Linked DNA regions of Tamandua tetradactyla. The protein of the gene in region 2 interacts with the protein of the main gene of each other region in a pairwise test. Links are inferred from orthologs where the notes say so. Each region holds a gene or a part of one and is shown on either strand. Other genes may lie near its edges.

Region 1 (7,282 bases), on a different chromosome or scaffold from region 2:
GCATTTCTTGCCCTATTGGATTGGGGCTTGCTAACCAAATAGTTGTGGTTTTCCTTTGATGAGTAAAATTCAAAAAACTTTTTACATAGCTGCAGCTGAAATTAAGAGTACAAAGGTGAGTTTGGTTTACTATTTCAGAAAAGGTCAGACATACAAACAGAGGAACTAAGATTCAGTCTCTGCTCTAATCATTTATAACATCAACTTGTGCCATCTCGCAGGAATAAAAATGGAGACCAAATGAAACGCTGTGTGTGCAGATGATTTTTAAACTGCAAAGCACTGTAAAAACAAAGGGATTACGTTATTACCTTTAAGGATGAAAACCAGCCATACCTGTAATTTCATTACATCACCGCAAGCTGGAGCCCCCACTAAGCCAGTACCAACATTTTTAGATGTCTTGTCAAGGGACCCCACATTTCTAGGATTTTCATAATGATCAACAACCTGAAATGAGAGGGTTAAGAGAATCATTATCACTCTTTTTCTTTTTGATTATGACATACTTTATGTAACTAATCCCTTGTTCTTTCTTTTAATTGTGAAAAGTAACATATATACAAAAAAGCAATAAATTTCAAAGCACACTGCAACAATTAGTTATAGAATAGATTTTAGAGTTTGGTATGGGTTGAAGTTCCACAGTTTTAAGTTTTTCCTTTTAGCTGCTCTAAGGCATTGGAGACTAAAAGAAATATCAGTATAGTGATTCAGCAGTCTGGCTCACTTAGTAAGTCCTATCTTCTCTGTTATAATTCCACATTCTCCTTTGATCTTTCTCCCAATCTTTAGGGGTATTTGAGCTATGCATATTCTGACTTTTTCATGTTGGAAAGGGCTGTAAATAATGTGGGTTGGGGGATGGAATTAGTTGATGATCTGGAGAGGCTGGCCCCTCTGCTTTCAGGATCATCTGGCCTAGGAACCCATCTGGAGGTTGTAGGTTTCTGGAAAGTAATCATAGTACATGGTACCTTTGTAGAATCTTATATAATGCTTTAGGTGTTCTTTAGGGTGGGCAGGAATGGTTTGGTTGGGGATTGGCAAACTATAATAAATAGCAATATCTAGCTGTGGCTTGGGTAAGAGTAGACTCCAGAGTAGTCTCTTGACTCTATTTGAACTCTCTGAGCCACTGATACCTTATTTGTTACAATTCTTTCCCCCCTTTTGGTCAGGATGGCACTGTTGATCCCATGGTGCTAGGGCCAGGCTCATCCCTGGGGATCACTCTTGATACTGGTCTCCTCGACATGAATTTAAGTTCCAGGAGGTAGGGAATTGAATCTTACTAATCCGTGTTCCCTCAAAGACTGGCACAAGGCCTGCAACCTGGCAGTCAACCTGTAAAAATACCAGTCTACACTCATGTCAACAAGGCTTTATTCATGACCCAAAGTCTTTTCGTATTTCCACTCCTATCTTCAGATTCTGTTTGAGATACTGGAGAAAAATCACCTAAATCATGTCTTGGTTTCATTAAGATTTTGTTTGTTTTGGCATGGGTAGGCACTGGGAATCAAACCCAGGTCTCCAGCATGGCAGGTGAGAACTCTGCCTGTTGAGCCACGGTAACCCACTCTCCATTAAGGTTTTTAATCACAAATGATTACTTCAACTTGTACCCATCCAAGTCATCAATTTAGGTTCAAGCAGCATTTTTGTTATTTCAAAATAAAATCCACTCTTAAAGGATAATGATTACAATTAGAAAATTCTAAAGTAACTATGTTTCAGAAATTGAAGTCCTTTCCAGAAGTTTCCACGTGACTTGTAGACACTCTGAAATCAGGCTGGTTAAACAGTGCACCCTGGTGGCTGAAAAGCTTTTAGCTTTAAATTCACTGAGTGTACTGTCAAAAAACACTGGTGTGTGTGCGGTGTGATAATCCTGAGCTGTGGGCAAATATGCAGAAACCAGACTAAATGTCCATTCAAACTGGCAAACAGAAGGCTTAAATAACGGTTAAGTGTCTTGATCTTCTTGTTTTCTTCCCTCTTCTATCCTTCCACGGATTTTAACATTAAGCCCAAGGACCCACAAAATAATATCTAATTTGGATATTGCCATATGTTGAATGCCAGCAATCTTTGCTTTTTTATCCCAATCCCAAGTGAAAGTCTCATCTCTAAGATACCTTAAACTCCCAGAAGGCAGGGCTGCAAACTTCGCAGCCCCCGGCCCCAAACCCAAAACGTAACAAAAACAAAAACATGATTATTGGTGACACGTCTGACTCCAACAGGAGGCTGTGTGCTCCAAAAAGGCAGAAACCAGTACTTCCATAAGGCCTACCTGAGATAATTTTACTACAACAGCAGCATTAATAGTTTTTATATGTTGAGCCTAAGAGCCAGACACCACACCGAGCACGTCACAAGCATCATCTCTTGTAAGAGGGGACTGCTAAGACCTCTATCTTATGAGTGTGGAAACTGAGGTTCAGCGAGGGGCAGTGACTCGCCCAAGGTCACTTAGCTAGGGCAGTGGTCTGGCTAAAGTGGATCCCTAGCGGTGGGGTGTAGCCCACCCGGGCTGCTGGGAAGTTTAAAGGCGCACTAAACAGCAGTCAGCTGCGAGGCCCACAGGAAGTAGCCGCTATTGTAAGCGTTATTATTTTGGTTTGTATTGCGGTTAGTGTTACTGCGCAGCGAGGAAAAGTTAGTCGAGACAGAAGACGGGAGAGGGGACGACCCCCCCACCGTCCCCTCTCCGTTCCTCACACTTACACTCCCCGGCCGGTGCGGGCCCTGTGCACCCCTTTACTCGTTCCTACCTTCTTGTGATAAAGCCGGGCCGGGGCGGACAGCTCCCGGGCGGGCAGGCGCTTGCTCTGCAGTAGCAAGGCCGACGTAGCCCGTCGTAGACGGCCAGCTCCGGCCGCCGCCATGTTGCGGGGACGCCCCTAACGCAAGCCCACACCGAGTCTGAAGCTGCGAAGCGCGCCGCCTACTTGACTCGGGACTTCGGATCCAAGGACGCGTCGCTTTACGTCCCGGCATCTTCGCGCTTGCGCACTTCCAATCCGCCCAGTCTGTTCTTTGGCTCTACCTTGGCCACGCCCCCCCAAGGGGCGGGGCGGGGCGCGGGAAGGTCTGAAGTTACTATAAGATCTTGTTTTTCGTGTTGGGTTCTGGATGCAGGAACGGGTTTAAGGTTTGAACGCTGTGCCCAAGCTTGAGCTGGCTAAGCTCACCGCTGGAATGCACAGATCACCCGATCCACTTTTCCTAACCTATTTTGCAGCCAAACAAGTTGAGGTTCAGAGAGGTTTAGTAACTCGCTCAAAGAGTTAGGTATACAGTTGGGATTCCAGCAAAGACAGTCCTGGGTTAGAATTCTGGTTCTGCGTCTTCCTGTCTCTGTGACTCTAAGCGAATGATATCAGGTCTTTATGATTTGGTCATCTGTTCTGATTTAAGGGGAATTTTTTCATCCACTCAGCACATACGTGTTGACTACGTACGTTAAGTCTCCATACCAGGCTTTGGGAATGCAACGAAAAGCAAAACATGTTTGCTCAAGACAATAAACAAGGAAACACGTCAATACTTTACTACCTCAAAAATGGGAAGTTTAATTAGAGAAACGAACACCATGCCCTGATTAAAAAAAAGCATGTATACATATATATAATATATAGTCTCCATATAGAAAATAACCGCAAACAACAAAATGTATATGGTAATCCCAGGCAACTGAGTTTCTCAATTAATGCTTGGTATTAACTTTTATTTTAATTAATATTTTAGATGTGCAGAATATGATTTTTTAAAACTAGACTCAGGAGTATTCGCATTACGTAAAGGGGAAGAATCGTTTCGGGCAATGCATTTTTCTCACGAGTAGCGCAGTCTATCCTTCCCGGAGGACGTGGAGTTTTCTCCGCGTTTGGGGCTCGGTTGCTGGGGAGACTAAACAACGAGCCATATCAGACCTTACTTTTAGTAAGGTCTCCGTTCCAAGAATTACTTTGACCTTCTCAAGATGGCGCCACAACCTCATTGCTCCCCCCCCACTTCCTGTCCAAACATCCAACTTCTGTCCGAAGTTGTAACGAAAGTCATGTTATATTAATGAGACTTTTCTGTGATGGGAGCTTTTATAAGTACATAAAAATAGTATTAATTGAGCGTATCTCGAGATTTTTCTGTCACTCGAGGCTCACAGCTTTCCTTTCGATCGCGAGAGAGCAGGGTTTTGGTCAGGCGCACGCCGCGGGCAGCTTCTACTTCCGTCGGTCTTCGGCGGCGGAGCGAAGACCCGAGAATTATCCGAGGCACAAAATGGCGACGGCGGCTGCAACCTCGGCTTCAGAATCGGAGGCTGAGCTCAAGGCTGGGCCCGAGGCTGAGGGAGAGGAGGATGAGGCTAAGGCGACGAGGACGAGGAGGAAGGTGTTATCTCGGGCTGTGGCCGCTGCGACATACAAGACCATGGGGCCAGAGTGGGATCAGCAGGAGGAAGGCGTGAGTGAGAGCGATGGAGACGAGGAATACGCCATGGCTTCCTCAGCCGAGAGCTCCCCCGGGGAGTACGAGTGGGAGTACGACGAAGAGGAGGAGAAGAACCAGCTGGAAATCGAGCGGCTGGAGGAGCAGGTGTGCTCGGGGGTGGGCAGCGGGCTCTTTCCCTCAGGTACCCGGGTCCGGGCTCGCCCCTCGTCCGACTGCGCTTGCTCGGGTACCTCTCCCGTCCGCAGCAGTAATGCCCCCAAGGCCGCAGTAACTCTTTTTCAGTCACCGTAGCGCCATCGTTTGAGCATTACCTGCGTGTGGGGCGCTTTCTAAGCGTATTCCATTAAATCCTAACAACGACCCAGTGAAGGAAATAGTGTATTCTCGTTTTAACTGGAGGAAACTGAGGCTTGTGGAGGGAAGTCTCTTGCTCAAGATTTCATGTCCTACAGGTGGCCAGTCAGGCTTTGAACGCTGAACCAACACCAGAACTCTCATTCTTAACCACACAGTTAAATTGCGTTCAACAGCAACAATAAATCTCATTTGTAAGAGAGAATAATTTTCCTGTAGGAAGGACAGCATTAATGAAATATGATGTAGTAGGAAAAATATTCACGGTAATCATGACAACAGAAATGGGAAGGTAGAAGTTTTGGCTCTCAAGGCTAAAGGCGCCAGTTCCGGCTATCATTTGGGCGATTTTCTTAAATTCTCTGAGTCTTTGCTTCCTGAATTGTAAATAGGGAGTGGCAATTTCTGTATCTTAGCATTGCCATGACAGTTATGATAGCCGAGTGCCTGGCAGCCAATGTCAACCAGATTGCTAATTTCTGAAGAGTCTTGGGAGGTGTAGGTGGTATTATCTCCTGTATAAATCAAGTCTCAGCAGGAAATAGATGGTACACTCAAGTTAGGATAATTTGAGGAAAGGTTGATAAAGGGACGGTTGCATTTATAAAAGTGTGGACCGGGAAATCAGGAGCAAAGTTTAGTACCATTTAATAATAGGAGGACTTTGTTTCCACCTTTAGACTTGAAGGGGCAAGGGGAGTGACATGTAGAAGAGATGGGTAGAGAGGGAACCTGAGAGGATTTGAGACCTTTGGTCAAGAGATGCAGCCTCAGTTTCCCGGCAGGAGTTGGGGTAGGGGAAGAAATACCCTGGCCTCCTTCTCCCTTGTCTCTCTCTCTCCTCCCTGTGAAAGTCTGCTGGGTGCTTCCTGCTGGGCAAACTCACCTGATTATTAGAGGGCTAGGGAATCTGTTAATGTGGTCAGCACAGGGCAGGGCAGAGGAGAGGGTGGATGAATTTGGAGGAAGAAACAGAAGAGATAGAGCACATTTCATTTTACTGATGAGGAAACAGAGGCTCAGAACAAATGATAAAGTGAGTTACTATTCAGAAGCTTTCAAAGTAGCCTCTGGATCAAATGCAACACTAGATGTGAAATCTCTCTGTGATATGAAGATTATTAACCTAGATTACTCATTTAATCTTATGGAGTGTAAGGTTAATGATAATTTTCCCTCTGGCATTGATATTTTTATGTTATGAAACAGTGATATTCTTTGGTTATCTTCTTCCACTTATCATTGCATCTCATTGTCAAAGGAACCAACCAGAGGTTAGAAGGCAGTTAACAATTTTCCTTTTTATAAATAAATATGCTGCAGTTTATTCAGTCTTTTATTCATTCAGCAAATACAGTGTGATTCTGGGTGCTAGGCTGACTGTTTCCCTGCCTACATTGAAATAATTTCTTCAAACTTCTAGTTCTGGGCCTTTTGATGAGCCAGCTCACTTTGACCTTACTGTTACATGAGGATCACCTGTTTTAGTAGGAAGGGAAGGCTTGGAATGGATATGAAGCCCTTGATCGTGCACAGTTTTACTAATGGGGAGGAGGGGTCAGAGTGAAGGTATGCTGGCAGTGGATGCTGTGCAGTTGCCTGCCTGACTTATATCTTTAGTTCACCTAGGTTGGTATGGAGCTTAGAAAGTGTCCACACAGTATGCGACCTTGTAAGTGATAGTGAGCTAAGGGTCTTTGGCCTTATCCTCTTTATCTTGGGCTTTAAAAATTTATTTTTCCAATATTTGCATACCTCCTTCCCACATCATTGTAATCCCACAGCCTCTAGTTCCTCCTGTAACTGCCCTTATAGTAGAGCATAATGACAAGTAACTTCCAAATAGGGCGGTGCAGATCTTGGCCTTGCCACATCTGCGTATTCCAGTTTTCGTTCTTGAGTTTATTTTATGCAGGCTTGTGATTTGCTGTGATATCTGTTCATGTAACAAAAACAAAGACTTTATATTAGTTGTGTTTTTGGGCTGAAACTAAAAGTAGCACCTCCTCGTGCCTTAAGCACATTTGTCAGTGTACCATGGTGCAGCACAAAGAGTATAGCTTTGCAAACTATACTCAAATCAGGTGATCCACTTACTAGTCAGAAGACCTTGGACAAGTTATTTCAAGTCTCTGAGCCTATTTTATCCCAGTTGGTAAAAAGGAGATTGTAGTAATGCCTCTCACAGGGCTTTAATGGGGGTTAAGTGACACAATGCATGTAAAATTGCCCAGTTTGGCTCTGCTATGCATAGTAGCTGCTATACAAAGGTTGGTTCCATTCTCTTTTCTCTGCTCTTCCTGTGGTTGCACCAGTTGTTTTCTTTCTACCACGCCTCTCATTTTTCTCCACGCTCATTCTAGGTTCAGATCAGTACTTTTCACACTGCTAGGAAGTTAGGACATCAGTGGATCATTTTGTACATTGGCTAAGCCCCCTCTTTAAAGCCTCCTTTGTCATTACTGGT
Region 2 (7,216 bases):
TTTTATATGCTGTATAGCAGGGTCACATTTAATTATTTTTCCATGTGAGTATCCTGTTATTGCGGCTCCACATGCTGAATTTTTTGTTTGTTTTTGTTTACTTTGTTTGTTTTTCAAGGGAAGTGCATACACTAGGACTTGAACCCGGGTCTCCTGCCATGGCAGGCAAGAATTCTACCACTGAACTACCCTTGCACACCCCTTGCCCCAATGTAAATTTCAGTACTGATATTAACAAAGGAGGTTGACACTTAGTGAATCCACACAATATGCCATTACAAAAAGGTAGAAGAGTACACCAGCACACCTTTAGTGTCTCTTCACATCAGGGCAAAATAAAAGACATGGCTCAGTTATTGCCTAAAGAACTACCAAAACTCAATGAAAACTCCAAGATTCCTCTTCGCTGCTCACCTGGCTGATTTACTTTTCTTTTTCCCACCTCTATGGACTTCCTGCAATACGCAGAAACAAATAATGGACAGAAAACAATTAAGAAGGATCTGCAGTGTGTATGTCATGGCACTCTATTCACAGAATGAAACTCCCAAACCTTACTGCTCCATTTCTTGGTGGTCACAAAGAATAATTTTGTTCTATACCTCTAGACAAATGTCAGTCTAAACCCTGTGGATTATGATCTAAGTGATCTTTCGGCAAGTTACTTCACTTATCTGTGCCTCTGTGATCATAAAAGTATTTATCTACCTCATAAATACCTCATGGGAGGCTTACAGTAGACAATGTCTGCAACATATTTATCTCAATGCCTAAGACATAGGAAGTACTCAATAATATTCACTATTGTCACTAATAATTTAAAAGTGTAGAGGCTAAGAGCAGATTCTGGGGCCAAATAACTTAGGTTCAAATCCTAGAATTGCTGGTGATCTTGGACAAGTTACCTAACCTCTCTGAGCTGCACACATTTTTAATGAAGATCAAATCAGTTACTATACATAAAGGGTTAAGAACAGTGCCCAGCATTTAGTAAGCACATTTAAGTGTTTGTTATTGCTAACATGCAAACAATTTATGGGAAGGAAATAAAAAAAAAGGAAAAAGAATTTGCAAACTGAAAACACAATGAACAGCTTTATGTTCAAAAAACCCAAACAAACAAAAAACAAAGCACAAACAACAGCTCAGTTTTATCACATCATCACTAGGTCACTATACACTGGGGCAGGCATCATCCCCCAGAGCTTTAAAAGCATCCAAAAGTATATAAACTTGAAATCTAACTTCCTGGACAACTGAATAAAAACAACAGACTGCCTTTTTTTGGGTACCTACATTAGCATAATACTTAAGAGCACGGACTCTTGAGAAGGACATAAGGTTTGAGTCCCATCAACTTCTCTGAATAAATGTGTGCCTAGGATGTGTCTCCTAACCTCTCTGAGGCTCCAAAGATTCCGTATTTGTAAAATAGGAATAATTATACAGATACTACATGGTTATTTTCAGGGTTAAATAGGACTATCTGTATATAAAGGACTTGACACAGTGATGGCTATTTCCAATACAGTGCAAGAGTGTTTCTTCACATAGATGGGCTTAAAATCCTTTCAATAACATCATAAGGTAGCTAATACCGCACTTATACATAAAGAAAATGGAGACCAGAGATGTTAAGTAATCTGCCCAATGCCACACAGCTAATAATAAATGGCCCAAAGAAACAGAATTCCAAGCCAGAATTCACTAGGAGTACTGCTCTTCGCCATCTACTCACAACGCCTAATAGAAAACAGAGTCCTCTTTTTCTTGGGGCTCAAATGGTTAAGTATTTAATCTGCTCACTCAACAAATTATGCCCTACATGCCAGGCACTGAGCTATGTGCTGGAATTACAGTGGTAATTCCTGCCTTTTTGAAGTTTATGTTTCCGTGGGAGAGACAATCGACAGGTAATCACAAAAATAAGCAATAATAATAGCCAAACAGGCTGAGGCTTTTAACTGGTGGGGGCGTGGTGGCTATTCTGTAATCAGGATCAGAGGTGTTGAGGGGAAAGGCGGGAGAAGAGCCTGGTGGGTTCAGAAAAACAAGAAAAAGAACCAAGGGGGTTGAAGACAAGATGCCAGAGAATGGTTATGATATGTATGACCTTGCAGCCGAAGACCAGATTCGCATTTTGTATCCCCACAGCATCAAAAAATGTGGGATCTAGATTCAGGCACGTCTGTATCGAGGCCTGGTTATCTCTGGACCATGGGAAAATTACCTAGTATCTTCTCACTGGGTACTTCACGTGAAAAATTGGTAGGCATGGTTACCGCTGCCAAGACTGAGAGGATTCAATGAGGCAATGCGCAGCCTCACAAATATTAATACTGTTTGCAGAACGAAATGAAAATACCCACATCCCATCTCATGTGGTCGTTTTCGGTACCTAGGCCCCTCTACAGTGACCTCACCACTGTACCCTAAACTTATCAAGAGAAAGGCTTTTCCTGCGAAAGCCCCCCCCTCCACCCCATCAGCTCATTCCCGAATTGGCCCTTGGCCCCGCCCAACATCACGCTTGGGAGCGGCACATGTCAACCAGATCGCCATTTCTGCCCTCTCCTCTCCCACGCAGCCCTCTTTCCCAGGGCTCTTGAGCTGAGGCACCCACCCCGGACCCCGCCATTCCGTTCCCCCTTTCGCCCTCGCGTGACGTAAGGCTGAATCGGGGAAGCTGTGGCCGCCCTCCGCCCCCAGGGTTTCCCAGGTCACTCCAACCCAAACACGCACTGCAGGCCCCGCGCCCCAGGGCCGGGTCGCCGTCGCTACCGCTGGGCGCGAGCCGCGTGGGCCTGGGCCGGGCAGGGGTGGCGGGCGAGCTGCTCACCACGATACTGGGGCTGCGGGTCGCCATAACGGAGCCTGGCGGAGGAAAAAAGAAGCCGGCAGCGAAAAGGAGGAGGAGATGGAGGCGGAGGCGGAGACGGCGTTGCGCGGGAAGGCCAGAGGTTCGCGGGAAAGCTCTAGGTCACCGCTGCAGACGCTACCGCCGCCGTTCGGAGCTGAGGCAGCGCAGGCCCCGCCCCTCGCCCCGCCCCGGCCCCGACGCTGCGCCCCCCACGCCCTCCTGCGCGTTCCCGCGCCTCTGCCTGCGGCTACTGGTTTCACCTTCACGTGGCGGCCCCGCAAATTTTCGACCGGAAGGAGCGGAATTACCTTCCCCCACCCCACCCCCACCTCCAGCGTAGCTTTTCCCTTCTTTTCCCCCCACCCCACCCCCACCTCCAGCGTAGCTTCTCCCTTCTTTTCCTCAGGCTCTTATACAGAGGGCTCTGAGATTTCCAAACATACCCCCAAAACCCAAATTGGGCGCCGAATTTTCGGGGTCGAGTTACCACAGGGCTCCTCCCGCCAGGCGAACCTTTGCCAAGATTGTGGACTACATTGCGGCTTCCATTTTCCTCACTCGTGGCTCGAAATCCTTAACTGGTTGTAAGGGTTAAAACCCGGAACCCTAGAGTTAGTCATATCAGGGTACAGGTCCCGGGGTGAGGTGGGAGAGGGAGGACACTTAACTGCTCTGTAACCCTTGGGCTCACTTAGATTCTCTGAGGCTCTTTTATGTCCTGGGTGAAAAGGCTGTGAAAACCGAGAGGGTTGTTGTGAGGGTGAAAGCGGATGAGATGTAGATGTAGATGTTTTGAGAGAGCAGTAAAGTACAGTCGTTAGGACAGAATACACTCAGTAAGTGGGAAACATTGCTATTTCCTATCATTATTTTTGCCTCCGGAATTCCCTACTTGGAACTGAAAAGCAAAAAATCCTCCCTATTCCCAAAAAGGTCAGGTTAGCCACAGTTGTTCCAGTGTCACCATTCCGCTGGTCCTTATCTGTATAGCTCCAGCACCCAGCAGAGCGCCCAGCGCATAATTAGACGGTGTGTCACCCACCACCATCCCCCCCCCCCGCCCCATTAAGGACACAAGGATGTGAAACATACATGATGGAGAACTTTACTGAGCCCCAGAACCTCATCTAAAAACTGAGAAGAATAATTCCTACCATGACAAGTTATTATAAGAATTCATAAAAATCATGTCTGTAAAGCACCTACCACCGTACTTGCCACTTAGGAGTAGATGCTTGAGAAGTTGTAGCTGTTATCATTTTAGCCTTTATGAACGCCACACTTCCCAAGTTTCTCTGCCTTCCCTGTCTATCAAGGAGATCCATGGCAGGCCACAAAATGTGAAAGGTACATGTGGACTTTGGACTGAGAAAGATCTGAGTTGAATTTCTGGAATTCACATACTAGAATTATGACCTCAGCCAGGAATCTTGATCACTGAGTGCCTCAGTTTCCTCATATGTTAGATGAGGATTATATCTCCTTCACAGCGGATGGTAAGGATTAAACAAAATAATACATGCAGAAGTGCCTAGCATAGTGCTTGCTGCAGGAAGTGATAATACCAGTGTTACGAGCTACATATCTTTGCCTTAATCAGTTTTTCACTCCATCCTTCTAGCCTCCAAGCCTTCTTATTCGTTCTCCTGTTAGTGGGCATTTTCCAGGTTTTGACCATTACAAAAAATAGCGCTGCTGCTATGAACACTCTATGTGTCTTCTGGTGAATGTATGAGTACATTTCTATGGGGTAGGGGCATTGAAGTTCAAGTTAACACATTTTTATTACTTCTCCTTTTAATTAACATTGTGTTCTCCAGGGAAGTTAATTCTGAGCCTTCCCCATTGTCCAGTTAGCCCTGACACATGCAAATTCATTACCTGTATTTGCTTCTAAATTAGGTACTGTTTTAGTTTGCTGACGTTGCAGAAATGCAAAAATGGACTGCCTTTTAACAATGGGGATTTATTAACTTAAAAAATTTACTGTTCTGAAGCCCTGAAAAAGTCCAAATTAAGGCATCAAGAGGACCATACCTTATTTCTGAAGAGAAGTTGCCAGCATCTGGAGCCCCACCCCACCCCCACATGGGAAGGCACATGGCTGAGGTCTACTAGTCCTTCTCTCCTGGGTTTCAGCTTCTGGCTGCTCCTTCAGTGGCTTTCTTTCTGAGTTTGTTTGTTTCTCTAAGCTTTGGTCTCTCTTAGCTTCTCTGGCTTTTCTCCCTCAGCTTCTCTGTGTGCTTCTATGAATGTTATCTCTTATAAAGGACTCCAGTAAGAGAATTAAGACCTACTTGGGACAGTCAGAATTCTTCCAGCTTGTTTCTGGAATTGCAGTTCCATTCTCAGTGCTCTGATGTACCACACACTCCTGCATTTCAACAGCAAATTTTAAATAGTCATTATAAAGGCAAAAGAACTGTTATTTCAATCCTGTCGTGCTATGTGACCACTTAGAGTGCTTGTGTTTTAAATTTTAAATAGCGAACAGAGTGCAAACTGCAAGATGTACTATTTTTGTTTGGTAAGCAATATTTTGATTCGTATATGCTGTTCTGGTTTGCTAAAGCTACTGGAATGCAATATACCAAAAATGGATTGACTTTTACAATGGTGATTTATTCACTTAGAATTTACAGTTCTAAGGCCATGAAAACATCCCAACTGAGGCATCAACAGGATGATACCTAGACTGTGAAGACAGGCTGCTGGTATCTGGGATACCTCTTGTCACATGGGACGGGACATGGTGGTCTGCTGGTCCTTCTCTCCTGGGCTTCACTGCTTTCGGCTTCTGGTTCCAGTGGCCTCCTATCTGAGCTTCTGTGGGTCCTCTCTTAGCTTCTCCAGAGCTTTTCTCTCTAAGCTCTCTTGGCTTTTTCCATCCTTTATCACTCCTAAAGGACTCCAGTAAAAAGGATTACCACAAACCCTAAACGTGGTGGGTTACATCTCAATTGAAATAACTGAACCAAAAGGTCCCATCCACAACAGGTCTGCACCCACAGGAATGGATTGAAAGAACATGGCCTTTTTCTGGGGTACATTACAGCTTCAAACCAGCACATATGTAAAATTGAAATTCAGACTTCTTTGAAAGTTTTATTGTTTAAAACTAAAGAAATCAAGAAAATAACGGGGCAATCGGCATCAGCCTAAAAAATGTGTTTCAGGGTGACGAGCTGCAGGGCCCTGCTGGGCAGAAAGCCCTAAAAACCCGCAGTGCGTGGGAGGGGAAGGGGAATGGGGGTGAGGGAGGTGTCAGGAGTGTCAGGTGACTGCCGGGGCAAAGGCCACGGAAGTGACGTCTCAAACGGACGCCATCTTCCCTGAGGCTGTGGGTGAGGAGAGGGCTGAAGCGGCGTTGAAGAAGTTGGAGGAGAAAGGCCTGAAGGAGAAGAAAGTAGCGAAGGAGGAGGTAAAGGTAGAGGAGAAGCCAGTAGAAGCAGAAATGGAAGCGGCAAAGGAACAGAGAGCAGTAAAATCGGTGGAGGAGGCGCAGGTGGAGGCGGTGGTGGAGGCGGTGGAGGAGGTGGTGGAAGAGGCGCAGGTGGAGGCGGTGGAAGAGGTGCAGGTGGAGGAGGCAGCACAGGAGGAGGAAGCTGTTGAAGAGGCCCAGGAGGAAGCGGTGGAGGAGGCGCAGGAGGAGGCGCAAGAGGAGGCTGTGGAGGAGGCGCAGCAGGAGGCCATGGAGGAGGAGGTGGTGGAGGCAGAGGAGGAGGCGCAGGAGGAGGAGGCCGTGGAGGAGGCCCAGGAGGAGGCTGTGGAGGAGGCCCAGGAGGAGGCTGTGGAGGAGGCCCAGGAGGAGGCCGTGGAGGAGGAGGAGGAGGACGAGGAGGAGGAGGTGGTGGAGGCGGAGGAGGCGGCGGCGGCGGCGGTGCAGGAGGAGGCCGTGGAGGAGGCCGTGGAGGAAGAGGAGGCGGCGGAGAAGGAGGAGGCGGCGGCGGAGGAGGAGGAGGAGGAGGCGGAGGAGGAGGCGGAGGAGGAGGAGGAGGAGGAGGAGGAAGAGGAGGAGGAGGAAGAGGAGGAGGAGGAGGAAGAGGAGGAGGAGGAGGAGGAGGCGGAGGAGGAGGAGGAGGAGGAGGAGGAGGAGGAGGAGGAGGCGGCGGAGGAGGAGGAGGAGGAGGAGGCGGCGGCGGCGGCGGCGCAGGAGGAGGCCGTGGAGGAGGCGCCGCAGGGGGCGCTGAAGGAAGCGGTGGAGGAGGCGCCGCAGGGGGCGCTAGAGGAAGCGGTGGAGGAGGCCCCGCAGGGGGCGCTGGAGGGAGCAGCGGAAGAGGAGCCGGAGGAGGAGGTGGACGTAGAGCTGGAGATGGTGCTGCGGCAGTTGCGGCAGGAGTTGCGGCAGGGATTGGA

What was found.
Region 1: the proteins of hypoxanthine-guanine phosphoribosyltransferase (region 2) and ISCU interact in binary tests that used the Homo sapiens proteins (3 or more experiments, as listed by UniProt). The two-hybrid records come from large-scale screens. The link is inferred for Tamandua tetradactyla from reciprocal best matches to the Homo sapiens genes HPRT1 and ISCU.

The regions. Positions count from the first base shown.
Region 1 is NC_135331.1:22,830,535-22,837,816, forward strand, and holds the start of ISCU (iron-sulfur cluster assembly enzyme ISCU), read right to left. Parts: upstream 3,018-7,282; 5' UTR 2,895-3,017; coding exon 2,781-2,894; intron 451-2,780; coding exon 337-450; intron 1-336. Other genes in the region: SART3 (spliceosome associated factor 3, U4/U6 recycling protein), read left to right, coding at 4,291-4,605.
Region 2 is NC_135353.1:27,487,908-27,495,123, forward strand, and holds the start of hypoxanthine-guanine phosphoribosyltransferase, read right to left. Parts: upstream 3,031-7,216; 5' UTR 2,867-3,030; coding exon 2,840-2,866; intron 1-2,839. UniProt on the Homo sapiens protein: Converts guanine to guanosine monophosphate, and hypoxanthine to inosine monophosphate. Transfers the 5-phosphoribosyl group from 5-phosphoribosylpyrophosphate onto the purine.